Linked DNA regions of Macaca mulatta. The protein of the gene in region 3 interacts with the protein of the main gene of each other region in a pairwise test. Links are inferred from orthologs where the notes say so. Each region holds a gene or a part of one and is shown on either strand. Other genes may lie near its edges.

The links.
Region 1: the proteins of TCHP (region 3) and MKRN3 interact in binary tests that used the Homo sapiens proteins (3 or more experiments, as listed by UniProt). The two-hybrid records come from large-scale screens. The link is inferred for Macaca mulatta from reciprocal best matches to the Homo sapiens genes TCHP and MKRN3.
Region 2: the proteins of TCHP (region 3) and KRT16 interact in binary tests that used the Homo sapiens proteins (3 or more experiments, as listed by UniProt). The link is inferred for Macaca mulatta from reciprocal best matches to the Homo sapiens genes TCHP and KRT16.

What each region holds. Positions count from the first base shown.
Region 1 is NC_133412.1:6,385,364-6,390,217, reverse strand, and holds the start of MKRN3 (E3 ubiquitin-protein ligase makorin-3), read left to right. Parts: upstream 1-1,479; 5' UTR 1,480-1,588; coding exon 1,589-3,112; 3' UTR 3,113-4,854. UniProt on the Homo sapiens protein: E3 ubiquitin ligase catalyzing the covalent attachment of ubiquitin moieties onto substrate proteins.
Region 2 is NC_133421.1:65,946,381-65,951,075, forward strand, and holds KRT16 (keratin, type I cytoskeletal 16), read right to left. Parts: upstream 3,376-4,695; 5' UTR 3,044-3,375; intron 3,011-3,043; exon of another isoform or gene 2,967-3,010; 5' UTR 2,931-2,966; coding exon 2,397-2,930; intron 1,969-2,396; coding exon 1,886-1,968; intron 1,725-1,885; coding exon 1,568-1,724; intron 1,454-1,567; coding exon 1,292-1,453; intron 1,203-1,291; coding exon 1,077-1,202; intron 776-1,076; coding exon 555-775; intron 461-554; coding exon 414-460; intron 254-413; coding exon 153-253; 3' UTR 2-152; downstream 1-1. UniProt on the Homo sapiens protein: Epidermis-specific type I keratin that plays a key role in skin. Acts as a regulator of innate immunity in response to skin barrier breach: required for some inflammatory checkpoint for the skin barrier maintenance.
Region 3 is NC_133416.1:117,069,835-117,074,087, reverse strand, and holds part of TCHP (trichoplein keratin filament-binding protein), read right to left. Parts: intron 3,684-4,253; coding exon 3,627-3,683; intron 1,921-3,626; coding exon 1,852-1,920; intron 344-1,851; coding exon 170-343; intron 1-169. UniProt on the Homo sapiens protein: Tumor suppressor which has the ability to inhibit cell growth and be pro-apoptotic during cell stress. Inhibits cell growth in bladder and prostate cancer cells by a down-regulation of HSPB1 by inhibiting its phosphorylation.

The DNA of each region.
Region 1 (4,854 bases), on a different chromosome or scaffold from region 3:
GTTTAATGTCCTAATTTTGTTCCTGATATTCTCTAATGATTTTTAATGCCTGTTATTAATGTAGTGATAACATATTTGAAATTACTGATGTTGGTTATTACAGCCTTCTTCATTTTTCCTTGATAAGTTTCACCAGAAATTATCTGGCTTCAATAAGCTGTTTAAAGGATTTTACTTAATTTATTTCCCTTATTTAATATTTGTTTTTCTTCATTGCTTTTCTTGGCCTTATTATTTGCTTCATTCTGCTTTCTTTGCTTTTACCTACCTAATTATAATTTAATTTGTTGACTTGGGTGATTATAAATATTCAGATATGTTTCCACTTTACAGATTTAGGCAACAAAATTTCCTCAAAGAAACTTACAGAAAAAAAAAAAATCCAATAATATATAAAACGATATATCATGACACAGAAGGGCTTCTTATTAGAAACAAATTGGTCAGTTAAATATTTGAAACTCATAGCTGCAAATAATCACATTAAGAGAATAAAGGGAAAAACAAGATTATCTCAAAAAATATATAAAACTACATGACAGAATTCAGTATGCAGTCATGATACGTACTCTCAGCAAAGTAGGAATACAAAAAAATGATTAATCCACTACACGTATCTGCAAAAATGACAAAACGCTTATATATGGAAATTAAAGACCATTCCTTTGTGGATAGTATGCCACAACACAGCACAGATGGGGTTGAAAGAAAGCAAGAGAAACAAAGGGCTGCCATGAATTAAACCAGTAGAGAAAATAAAAGCCTGGGTCATGCAGGGGACAGTGCCTTATTCAGCCAGCATCAGGAATGATTGAAGTCTGGGGCTTCTACACAGTGGGAAAACGAGCATAGTAATCACAATAAAGAAAGACATCTGAAAGGTGCTAACTTAGCCTCGGATCAGAAGCGCTGTCTGCTAATGCCTTGCTGGTGAAAAGCGTATCCTGCGTAAGCCCTCAGAAATCCCAGAAAACAAAGACCAAAAGAAACGACGCTTTGTCAACAGAGCAAATCGAAAAAATCTTCCAGCAGTGACAGGGCATTAAAAAAAAAAAAACGCAGACATAAGATGGAGTGAATCAAAAAAGGATTTATCTAATTCATGTATGAAATGTTTCAGAATCTATTGGATTCTAATTTTTTTAAAGCAGACAGATACGAAAATACAACGAAGACGTGCATGACTGAAACCAAAAGAGATTAAAGTAAAACCTCATTCTCCTGAGGAAACGGTGTGAGGAGGGAATTAGGGGCTGCCGGAACACAGCGAAGCAGAGGCAGAAGGCAGACAAAAGGGGCTGGGTTGGTCCCTGCCTGTGTGAACAAAAAATATGTCAGATTGGAAAATTGCGGTAAAATCCAAGCGCGGCGCGTACGTTGCCCCCACAGGAAGTGTCCGCCGCGCTGCCTGTGCCCGGAAGTAGGTAGGAACACACAGTCACAGGCAGCCAAGAACCGGGGGGGAAGAAAAAGAGATGCACACTTCCCCTAGAGAAGCCTCCGAGCGCGGCCGCGACTCCGGGCCTCAAGCCCATAAAGAAAAAATACCGGAGACGTTCTGGCACCATTTCGGGGTAAAGAAGCTGCCATGGAAGAGCCTGCAGCTCCCTCAGAAGCCCAGGAGGCAGCCGGGGCCCAGGCAGGTGCTGAGGCAGCAGGGGAGGGTGTGTCCGGGCCGGACCTTCCCGTCTGTGAGCCCTCCAGGGAATCTGCTGCTCCAGATTCGGCCCTGCCACATGCGCCTGTGGGCTGGGCCCCCTTCCCTGTAGCTCCAGTCCCTGCCCACCTCCGCACAGGAGGCCTGAGGCCTGCACCAGCCTCAGGAGGAGGAGCATGGCGCAATCCGTTTCCAAGCCGAAGCAGCGGCATTTGGACAAAGCAGATCATCTGCAGGTATTATATACATGGGCAGTGCAAGGAGGGGGAGAACTGTCGCTATTCCCACGACCTTTCTGGTCGGAAGATGGCCACTGAGGGCAGCGTTTCGCCGCCTGGGGCCTCTGCAGGTGGAGGCCCTAGCACGGCTGCGCACATCGAGCCCCCGACTCAGGAAGTGGCGGAAGCCCCCCCGGCTGCATCCTCCCTTTCCTTGCCTGTGATTGGCTCGGCTGCTGAAAGGGGTTTCTTTGAAGCCGAGAGAGACAATGCAGACCGTGGAGCTGCTGGAGGAGCAGGTGTAGAAAGCTGGGCGGATGCCATTGAGTTTGTTCCAGGGCAGCCCTACCGGGGCCGCTGGGTTGCATCTGCCCCCGAGGCTCCTCCACAGAGCTCAGAGACTGAGAGGAAGCAGATGGCTGTGGGCAGGGGGTTGCGGTTTTGCTATTATGCTTCCAGGGGAGTTTGCTTTCGTGGGGAGAGCTGTATGTTCCTCCATGGAGACATATGCGACATGTGTGGGCTGCAGGCCTTGCACCCCATGGATGCTGCCCAGAGGGAAGACCATATAAGGGCCTGCATTGAAGCACACGAGAAAGATATGGAACTCTCGTTTGCTGTGCAGCGTGGTATGGACAAGGTGTGTGGCATCTGCATGGAGGTTGTCTATGAGAAAGCCAACCCCAATGACCGCCGCTTTGGCATTCTTTCCAATTGCAACCATACCTTCTGTATTAGGTGTATCCGCAGGTGGAGAAGTGCCAGACAGTTTGATAACAGGATCATCAAGTCTTGCCCGCAGTGCAGGGTCACCTCCGACTTGGTCGTTCCCAGTGAGTTCTGGGTGGAGGAGGAGGAAGAGAAGCAGAAACTTATTCAGCAATACAAGGAGGCAATGAGCAACAAGGCCTGCAGGTATTTTGCGGAAGGCAGGGGTAACTGCCCATTTGGAGACACATGCTTTTACAAGCATGAATACCCTGAGGGCTGGGGAGATGAGCCTCCTGGGCCAGGTGGTGGGTCATTCGGCGCATACTGGCATCAACTTGTGGAGCCTGTGCGAATGGGAGAGGGCGACATGCTCTATAAAAGCCGTAAGAAGGAGCTTGTCGTGCTTCGACTGGCCAGTCTGTTGTTTAAGCGGTTTCTTTTACTGAGAGATGAGTTACCCTTCTCTGAGGACCAGTGGGACTTGCTTCATTATGAGCTGGAAGAATATTTCAATTTGAATCTGTAGCATTGTGCTGTGGCATGTGGTCTAGTCTGCTGAGGTTCTGTCGTCTGCTATTGCCTGTTTTCCCTGTGTTGACACTCTTATTGCTTTCAGGGGCTGTTGAGGCAGTGCTTCTGTTTTCTTGTCTATTCTGCATATCTTTCCTCCTAGGATTATGGTGATTATCTGTGTTTAAAAAAATAAGTCCTTAAAGTTACTGTTTTGGTGAAATTAATATTAATGTCAGCTTATGGCTTTTTTTGTCATCTCTGTTTTCAACAGGATTAACTCAGTTCTAGTGTAGTGTTTACTGAATTTCCACACTTATTTTGAAGACCCTCAAGAGTAAATGTGGCAGAGTGAAAGGAGAAGTTTTAATTGAACTAGTAGCTTTGTGCTATAATAGCCTTAACAAATGGACCCTCGCAGGGTCTTGCAGCTGCTCATCTGTTTACAGTTTGTTCTTTCCCTCCTTCCCCTTCAAGTGCACTTGTTAAACTGTGATGAACTTGTGATTTTGTGTTTTACTTGACCAAAACCAAGTGTATATGTTTACATGTTTTTATCCTGTTTAGCTTGACATGAAATAATTTATATTTGGAAATATATATTTAAGAATGATATATATATAATATATATGTATAAGAGCTATGTATTTGAAAATATATATAAAAGAATATACATCACAATATTTATGTTTATGTAATAAAGTAAATACAGAGCCGAAAGCTGAAGGTCAAAGCCTAACAGGATTGGCTGTTGTGTGGATGTGAGTTGTGTGAATAATCATTCTGTCCCTTGCACAGAAGCCAGTAATTAGCATCTAATGAAAAGGACTGTTCAAGTGGGTCTGGCCAAATGTAACAGATGCAGATCTTAAGAGGACTTACAAAGCACTATATTGGTAATTCTTACAATGGCATTAATAGCTCACTCTATAAAAACAGAAATTGTGTTCCTACGCAGTTTTGCCACCTTCTCAATAATTCTTTGTAACAGCAAATCCTAGGCTCAGAGGCACAGTGCTTTGTATTTGATATACAAAGTCTCTAGACTTTCCCAACAAGGGGCTTTAGACAAAAGATTTCAACATAAAAGTAACAAGATTATAAAAGGGAAAATAGAACAAAAATACTAAAACCAGTGAGAATAAAATAATGGAAAGATAATAAAATATAGAAAGCACTAAAAACTAAGTGTAAGAGTAATATAGAAAATTTACATACAACTTAGATTAAATGAAAGCAGTTTAAAGACTGAAAGTCAAAGGCTATAAGACTTCATTACAATCAAAATGAAACATCCTATTTAAAATACACACAACATAAAAATACAGAAGCATTCAAAGTAGTAAGATGGGAAAAAAAACCAAACAGGTGCTGTGACTGTCTTGATTGTAGACAATGTTTATGGTAAGGATAAACACTTTGCTGGAGATAAAAAGGAATGATACATAAACATTAAATTGTAATTCACAGGAATATATAACTGTTCAAATTTTGTATACATTTAATAATGTTGTATCAGATACACAACTGATAAAAATAGAAAATCCTAACTCCAGACTCTTAGTGGACAATTTTAATACACCTTTTTAGTAACCAAACAAGCAAAGAAAAAATGAATGTGAAAGATAATTATGCCATTTTAATGACTTACCTGCATAACTTATGATCTGCATCAACTGCAAATGCACTTACCTTGGCTGAAGTAGCTGAAAAATATGCTAGGAGTGTGAATCTTGAGTCCCAGGTTATTCACACTGT
Region 2 (4,695 bases), on a different chromosome or scaffold from region 3:
GTTTGCATCAACCAGAAAGTCAGCTTTATTAGCCCACCACCAGCGGAGGAGCAGGGGAGACAGCTGGGAACGGCGCCATGAGAGCAGGGTCCTGACCCGGGCCTTCAGGAGGTGAGGCCAGCTGGTGGGCAGGAGGCTGTGGTGGAGGCAGCTCAGTTCGAGGAGCTCTGGCCCTGGCTGAAGCTGGATGAGCCCTGCTCCTTGAGGATGGGCCGGGTCTGACGGCTCGAAGAAGAGGAGGAGGAGGTGAAGACTGTGGGAGAGAGAAGAAGAGGTGAGAAGGAGTCTGAGAGCTGAGCGGACTCCAGGGCAGGGAGAAGGGAGGGCTGGGAGCTCTGAGGAGAAGGGCTCTGCCCCCACTCCGTGGAAACAGGCAGAGGGGCTGCAGTGCGGGGGAGCCTCAGAAGACTTACCCTCGCGGGAAGAATAGGATTGGCCAGATGCGTGCTGGGAGGAAAGGCTGTGGGAGAGAAAAGGCAGGGCAGTCAGTTGTGCTGAGAGCAACAGGGGGTCTAAAGGGTCTGGGAGGCAGAACTGGGGGGCCTGGGACTCACTGGGCGTCCTCGCCCTCCAGCAGGCGGCGGTAGGTGGCGATCTCCTGCTCCAGCCGCGTCTTCACGTCCAGCAGGATCTGGTACTCCTGGCTCTGCTGCTCCATCTCACAACGTAGCTGGGCCAGCTGCTCCTCCACGCTGCCGATCAGTCCCTGGATCTGGGACAGCTGCATGCAGTAGCGGCCTTTGGTCTCCTCCAGGCTGTTCTCCAGGGATGCTTTCTGCAAGCGAAAGAGAGAAAGAGTCAATGGAGGTGGTCACTCCTGTCCCTCCAGGTCTCTGGGCATGCTTTTTGAGAGGTGCCTGGATTTTGATCCCAGTTGGGGTACTGACGGGCCAGACAATATGGAGAAAAGCTAGCCCACTATTCTAGGGCTTAATTTCTCTGTCTATATAATGGGTCCCATGAGTCCTCTGGTCCCATCCTGAGAAAAGAAAGGTGGAACTAGATTGTGGCTTGTTGAGGGGGTGGTGGCCATTACTGGTGGCTTGGGGGCTGCTGCTGTACCGGGTCCTTCATACCATGCTGAGCTGGGACTGCAGCTCAATCTCCAGGCCCTGGAACACCCTCCGGAGCTCCGTCACCTCAGTGCGGCTGCTCTGTACCAGTTCGCTGTTGGAGGCCACTTCTTTGTTTAGCTCCTCGGTCTGAGACAGGAAAGCAGAACGAAAGGTGAGGCTCTCCCAAAGCCCCCGGCTGGGAAGTGCTGCAGGCTCACTGAGGGCCCGAGCCCCACCTTGCTCAGGAACCAGGCCTCAGCATCTCTGCGGTTTTTCTCTGCCATCTGCTCGTACTGGTCGCGCATCTCATTCAGGATGCGGCTCAGGTCCACGCCAGGTGCGGCATCCATCTCCACGTTCACATCTCCACCGCTCTGACCTCGAAGAGCAAGCATCTCCTGGGAAGGGATGGCAGGAGGCAGTCAGCTCAGCAGACTCCTCTCCTGGCCCTGGGTGCATCTGGCAACCCCACCAAACCAGCCTCCCACCCCGGAAGCCAGCAGCAACCGCACCTCCTCATGGTTCTTCCTCAGGTAGGCCAGCTCCTCCTTCAGGCCTTCGATCTGCATCTCCAGGTCGGTCCTGGCCAGGGTCAGCTCATCCAACACCCGGCGCAGGCCATTGACATCGGCCTCCACGGTCTGCCGCAGGGCCAGTTCATGCTCGTACCTGGCAGGACAGAGGTCAGGTCCTCAGCTGCAGCCCTGAGGATTCTGAGGCTCGGGGTCTGCTGGCCCTGCTGGGTGGACAGAACTCCCTGCCCCACAGTGACAGAGCCCCACTCTTTGTCCCTTGCCCTCTGCCCCCAGCCCACCATGTTGGCTGCTCACTTTGTCCTGAAGTCATCGGCTGCCAGCCTGGCATTGTCAATCTGCAAAATGGGCTGCGCATTCTCAATGGTGGCTGCAATGATCTGGAGTGGGGATGGAGGACAGGAGCCCTGGTCAGCCAAGGACCTTACTACTTGAGCATGAAAGGCAGAAAGGGGCAAAAGGAACCTCCCCAAATCTGTAAGTCTCCTGGCTGGCAGGGCTGCCTTCTCCACCAGCTCAGGGTATGTAGGGACACACTCCATCCCAATCACCCCCTTCCTGGTTCCAAGGCAGGGAAGCTGAACTTGCAGCTGAACCCTTGCAGGAAATAAGAGATTCAGGGTTCCAGCCCCAGCCCGGGCACAGAGATGCTGAAAAGGACCCTCTGCCACCACTTCCCTGGGTGATCCTGGCCACTCTCCAAAGGTGCCCAGTCTCCCTGTTTGTAAAGTGTAATTGCTAAAAAGAGGTATCCCAAGGGCCACTATAGTGCCAGCCTCTCTCTCTGCTCCATACACCAGTCACCCACCTTGTTCCTCAGGTCCTCGATGGTCTTGAAGTAGGGACTGTAGTCTTTGATCTCACTGGGCCGCTGCCTCTGGTACCAGTCGCGGATCTTCACCTCCAGGTCGGCGTTGGCCTCCTCCAGAGCACGCACCTTGTCCAGGTAGGAGGCCAGGCGGTCGTTGAGGTTCTGCATGGTCACCTTCTCACTGCCCACCAGAAGCCCATCACCACCAGCAAAGCCACCACCAAAGCCACCACCCAAGCCACCACCCAAGCCACCACCGAAGCCACCACCATATCCTCCCCCGAAGCCACTACCAAAGCTGCTGCTGCTGCTGAAGCCACCGCCATAGCCGCCCCCCAGCCCGCAGGCTCCCCCAGAGGAGAAGCGGGAGGAGGAGACAGACAGGCCCCCGCCGTAGGTGCTGGGGGCGCGGCAGGACCCTCCGGCCAGGACGGAGGAGATGCGGCTGGAGCCGCCCCCGATGCCGCCCCCGATGCCGCAGGAGCCCTTCATGGAGCTGGAGGAGGTGAACTGGCGACTGCAGGTGGTCATGGTGCCGAGGAGGGAGGTGAGCGAGCGAGCAGTTGGCTGAAAGAAAGGAAGGTGCTCAGGAAGGCTGAGAGCGTGCTGTGGCTGCCTCCAATCCCAGAGACCTTTATATGCACCTGGGGAAGGCGGGGCTCTCCTAACTGCTGACTCCGGGTTCCCCTCCGGATTTCATCACTCCCGGTCCCGTCCTACTCCTCACTCTGGATTATTCAGCCCAGGATCAACTCCACTGTGTGCCGGCTCGGAGTTCCCACCCAGCTTTGGGGGTGTGGGGCTGAGAGAAAAACACACAAATGCAAGTAGGTGGTGACTCAGGCTAGGCAGCCGGGAATCAGGCTCCCGTTCCTGGAGCCCTCAGGGCCAGTGGGGCCTTGGCACAGGTGGCTTTGTGGCAACTGCGTCCCCAGGCAGTGAGTCAGCCCTTCAGAAGAACTCCCTGCCCCACAGTGACAGCCTTGGCTGAAAGATACCTCAGCGACGCCATCCCGGGCTGTCTTGGGGAGCAGTTGTGGGGATCCTACATGTCCCACTCTGGGCAGGGGCAGAGTTCGTGCCTTCACTCTGCTTGCTGTGTGGCCTGAGGCTCCCCACCTCCCATCTCTGGGCCTGTTTCCCCTCGGTGGTGACAAGGCTAGACTGGGTGACTGCAGAGTCCCTTCTGGTTCTAAAAATCCTACGACTCTCTTTCCCTTGTTGGATGTAATTCCAGTTCTGGAGGCTGCCTGGAGCCCCTGGGATCTCCAGAAGTGTGTGCACCATACAAACAGCACCGGCCATGGAGCCAGACAGGCGGCACCAAGTCCCTGCTCTGCCCTTACCAGCTGCATAGCACAGGCCGGTCCTATAACCCCTTGGTCCTCAGTTTTCTCATGTGTAAAAGGGGATGACACACCACTAGCCACAAAGAAACATGCGCGCAGGACCCCACCGGCCCTTCCCTGAGGGCCAGCCCTGCCCCTCAGCCTCCCCATCCTGCCCCTTCAGCCACCTGCTCCTCACACTCACCTCTACACACTGGCACCCTCCCACACCCCTACGCGGGACCCTGCACCCCCCACACTCCCAGCTGAAGAACACCACAGCCCCACACCTAGCTCCTCCACTCCTCTACCGCCCTCTCCTAATCACAGGCACCCCACCTGCAGGCTGATGGGAGGGAGCCCGTCCTGCCACTGTAGCCAGGTGTGACCCCTGACTCCGCCAAGGGCCTCAGAGTCCCCGACCCTGTAGAAACAGGACTGGCTGGGGATCCATTCCCAGCAGTTCTCTTTCCCATGTCCACAGATCCCAGACTGGACCTGGCAGCTCCATTCATCCAGCTGAGCTGGGGGAGAGCACTCGTCATGGGCACACTCAGGCATGCACGGAGAGCCTGGTGTGTGCTGTACGGTTCTGTGAGTGAGGATGAGGGGGGCGTTATTCCTGACACCAGTTCTCAGGTGAAGGAGCTGGGATTCGGGGAGGGTAAGTGGGCTTTCCAAGACACCAGTCACTGGAAGCTGAGATGTGAACCTGCCTGCCTGTTCTCCTTGCCTAAGCCAGTTCCATCACCCTGAGCCCTCTCTCTGTGCATCTCAAATTTGCATCATTTTCTTGATCAGAGGGAACAGAGGGGAAACCAGAGACAGGCGGAGATTCACTCAAAGTCACTCTGCTTTAAGCTGCAGAGCTGAAACCAGAACCCAGAGCTCTGGCCCTCTCCAGGCTCCCACCATGCCTGCAGGTGGGGCCAGTATACCCGACTCTCACCTACCTCCCCACGGTCACT
Region 3 (4,253 bases):
AAAGCAGGAGGCGGAAGGGGATGCGTGGGAGCGGGAGAAGCTGGCTGCTGCTGCCCATTGCGGAACCTCAGCCCTGCTATGGCTCTTCTCAGGGCAGCCCCTCAAGTGCCCATCTCACACTAACGAGCAGCTGTGGAGGAGGTCATGGCTGAGAGGGGCTTGTGCCCACCTCCACCTCCTTCAGTTTCAGCTCCTCCATCTGCTGCAGCAGTGCCTCGGCCTGGAGCTTGTCCTCCAGCTGCCTCCTCTCCTCTTCGGCTTTCATCCGTTCTAGCGCCTCCCTTCGGGCCCTTTCATACTCATTTTCGTACCGTTTGTTCTCTTGCTCTGCGGTGGCTTCTTGCTACAAGGGACCGAATGAACACAGGAGGTCAGTATCTGTACTGTAAGCCAACAAAAACCCAGCTTCCTGCCGCCGTTCTGCAGGCCACAGGGCCCAGGCAGATCCTGCCTGAATCCCAAATGACAATGCCCTCAGAGACCAAGTTAGGGAGGGGCTTGATAATGTTGGGTTTCCTCCCCACTCAACAAAACACTTTCTAAAATGAACCAGGCAGCAAAGCGACCAGTGCACGGAGGTGTGGAAGCTCAACCCCAAAGGGGCTACTGGAAGCCAGGGCTGCGAGTTTATGATGCAAATTTCATCAAAAGAGCGACAAAAAAGCCCTTAAAAACACATGTTCTAGGCCGGGCGCGGTGGCTCAAGCCTGTAATCCCAGCACTTTGGGAGGCCGAGATGGGCGGATCACGAGGTCAGGAGATCGAGACCATCCTGGCTAACACGGTGAAACCCCGTCTCTACTAAAAAATACAAAAAAAAACTAGCCGGGCGAGGTGGCGGGCGCCTGTAGTCCCAGCTACTCGGGAGGCTGAGGCAGGAGAATGGTCTAAACCCGGGAGGCGGAGCTTGCAGTGAGCTGAGATCTGGCCACTGCACCCCAGCCTGGGCGACAGAGCAAGACTCTGTCTCAAAAAAAAAAAAAAAAACAAAAAACAAAACACATGTTCTAGCTGGACCCTGTGGCCCACGCCTTTAATCCCAGCACTTTGAGAGGCCCAGGTGGGAGAATCTTTTAAGGCCAGGAGGCCATGGCCGGGCGTGGTGGCTCACGCCTGTAATCCCAGCACTTTGGGAGGCCGAGGTGGGCGGATCACAAGGTCAGGAGATCGAGACCATGGTGAAACCCCGTCTCTACTAAAAATAGAAAAAATTAGCCGGGCGCAGGGGCGGGCGCCTGTAGTCCCAGCTACTCGGGAGGCTGAGGCAGGAGAATGGCGTGAACCCGGGAGGCGGAGCTTGCAGTGAGCCAAGATTGCGCCACTGCACTCCAGCCTGGGCGAGAGAGCAAGACTCCGTCTCAAAAAAAAAAAAAAGGCCAGGAGGCCAGACCAGCCTGGGCAACAGAACAAGACCCCATCTCTACAAAAACTAAAAAATTAGCTGGGCACAGTGGTGCACACATGTGGTCCTAGCTACTCAGGAAGCCGAGTTAGGAGGACTGCTTGAGCCCAGCTGGTCGAGGCTGCACTGAGCTGTGAATTGCGCCACTGCACACCAGCCTGGGTGACAGAGCAAGACCCTGCCTCCAAAAGAAAAAAAGAAGACGCATACTCTACTTGCCACCTCCCAGTCCTGGTCACCTGGCCTTATTCTGCCCTGGGATTATCACATAGGATTCTGGTATGTGTAAGAGCAAACGTTCAGTTTTCACATGTGTCAAGTAAACTGAGAAAGAGTATACTATACTCCTTAACTGGAGTCACTGACGCTGAAAACGGTAAAGGAATTCAAAGGTGTCAACAGTCCTGCACAGCAGAATGCGGGGCTATTCCCTGAGCCGCATACCACACCTGTTTTTTTTCTTCTTTCTGCGTTTCCCAAGAGTTTACCACATGCTTCTGGTGAAGGTCCAGCTCCACCTGAGGATGGAAGGGGGCGGGTGTGAGTCTCCTCACAGGCATGCAGTAGAGAGCGTGGGGCGACTTCAACACGTACAGTGTAAATGCAAGTCAATCAGAAGACCAAAGGACCAGGCGCTCCTACATCAGTCTCCTGAGCTGGTACAAAGTAACAGAGACTTCCTTCCCACCAGCCCTGGGGTTAAGCTGGACGCTGAGATGGAAATACAATTTCGCAGGCCAGCGTGGGTTGGTCTCCTGCATGCCAGGCCCCGGGAGACAGCTGGGTGAGGAGAAGACTCAACTCTGTGTCTGGCTCCCCAAAGCTTGCTCTGCAGAGCAGATGGAAAATGTGCTCCCTGTAGCAAGTGATGCGCCAGTAGGTGCAACAAGTTTAGGATTGTTAGTAAGAGATTTGAGCGCAGAGAATCTCCTGGATTAGAAAATGGATCACAACATTCAATCCAAATCTTTTGTCTGGGAAACTGTTTATAAAATTAGCCGGATATGGAGGCGCCCACCTGTAGCCTCAGCTACTCGGGAGGCTGAGGTGGGAGGATCACTTGAGCCCAGGTTCAAGACCAGCCTGAGCAACATAGGGAGACCCTGTCTCTACAAAAAAGTTTTACAATAATCTTTCCCAACTTAGAGCTGTGAACACAGGCAACTAACTTGAATGTTCTGAATAAACTTCTCTGATTTAACGGCTCTAGATGATTCCACCAAAGCCAACAGGGCTAAGGAGTCCCCCCACAGATTAGTGCAAACTACACAAAAGCACTAGATGTTCCATTATTTAGTGACTGGCAATTTCTAAATGTAACTACGAATAACGTGAAGGCACCAAATGTATACAAAAACTGTAAGTTGAAAATAAATTAGTAACAGTGAGGGATGATCTCCCTGCAGCCAAATCTCCACTGAACAAGGCCACCAAGCCAAGAGGCCACCCCCTCTCCTGCAGTTTGTCCTCCTCTCCCCTGCCAGCCCAGTTCAGGCCTTCACCATCCCCCAGCTGGGCTGTCGCAGCACCCCTCCCTGCCAGCTGGCACACTGCTGCCAGAGGGATCTCTCTGAAATGCAGCCGGGATCCTGTGTGCCGCCCCCAGCACCTTCAGAGGAAGGTCACACAAGCTCTTATGGCGTCTGGCACCGTCTGCCTCGCCGGCGTCGTTTCTTGGGGTTCTCCCTATCTGACATCCTAGCCTCACCCAGACACTTTCAGCTCCCGGGGCTCACTCTGCTCTCAAGTCTCAGGCCTGGTTCTCATAGTCACATCAACCTAGAACATCTTTTCCTCACCTCTACACACATACATCCCTTCAAACTCTTCCACCCCAGGAACCCCTCTGGGAAGCCTCCCCGACCCCTCCAGAGTTGAGTGCGCTGGCCCATGATCATCCTCTCAGGCTGGCCCAGCACCCTGCATCCTGCCTGGTAATGAGCTATCCACTGTTTCCCGTGCTGGAGACAGCAGAAACCACGTCTAATCCCCATGCCCCCACCTGGTAGAAAGGCAGCAGAGGTTCAATCAACATTTGTTCAACAACTGAATGAACCGCTCAGTGCAGCCTGTGCCAGATCTTCTGCCTGGCGCTCTTTTCAGGTGGCTCAAGGTTCCCTCCTCTGTTTCAACCCAGTACAAGATATGTGTTAAAAAAAAAAAAAATGTCTGGAAACATGATTTCATCTACTTAGGCAAATCAATGGAGGTCTCTGATTTTCACCTCTCGAAGTTTCGGGTTGTTCTTTTTCCAGTGTTCATACAAAAGTTGTTCAGCAATCTATCGAGAAAACACAAAATGGAAAGCCTGATGTCAGTTTTCAAATCCATTCACGTTTTGGATGACACACAGTGGAAGTCAGCTCAGGCTATGAGTGCCTCCATTCATACTGTCACTGCACCCACTGTTCAAACCCTTGTGCTTCACATGCACAGCTCTAAGAACCACAGGGCACTACCAAGTGACTCTTGCAATGGTGACAAAAGGGGACCAAAATCTGATGCTACACAGAGGTCTTATCTAGGGGGTCTCAAAATAATACAGCAGGCTGAAAAGCACAGATCAGGGCTCACTGTTTCACATAACTACTTTGGAAGGTAAAACAGATTATTCCCAGATCTCTATGGGCCCACAGAACTGAAAGAAAGGAAAAGCACTCAGATGTAATGACTGAAGGGGCTAAAGAGAATACAGCTAACTGATCCAAAACCCAGTCCCTGCACAAGGACTTAAGCTCCTTTCCTGCTGGCTCTGGAGTTAACTGGCCTCTCATCAGACCTGAGCAGCCAGGAATGGCCCTATATGTGCGACACACTCAGGCTGGGGGCACTCCTGCTCCACAGCCTCCTG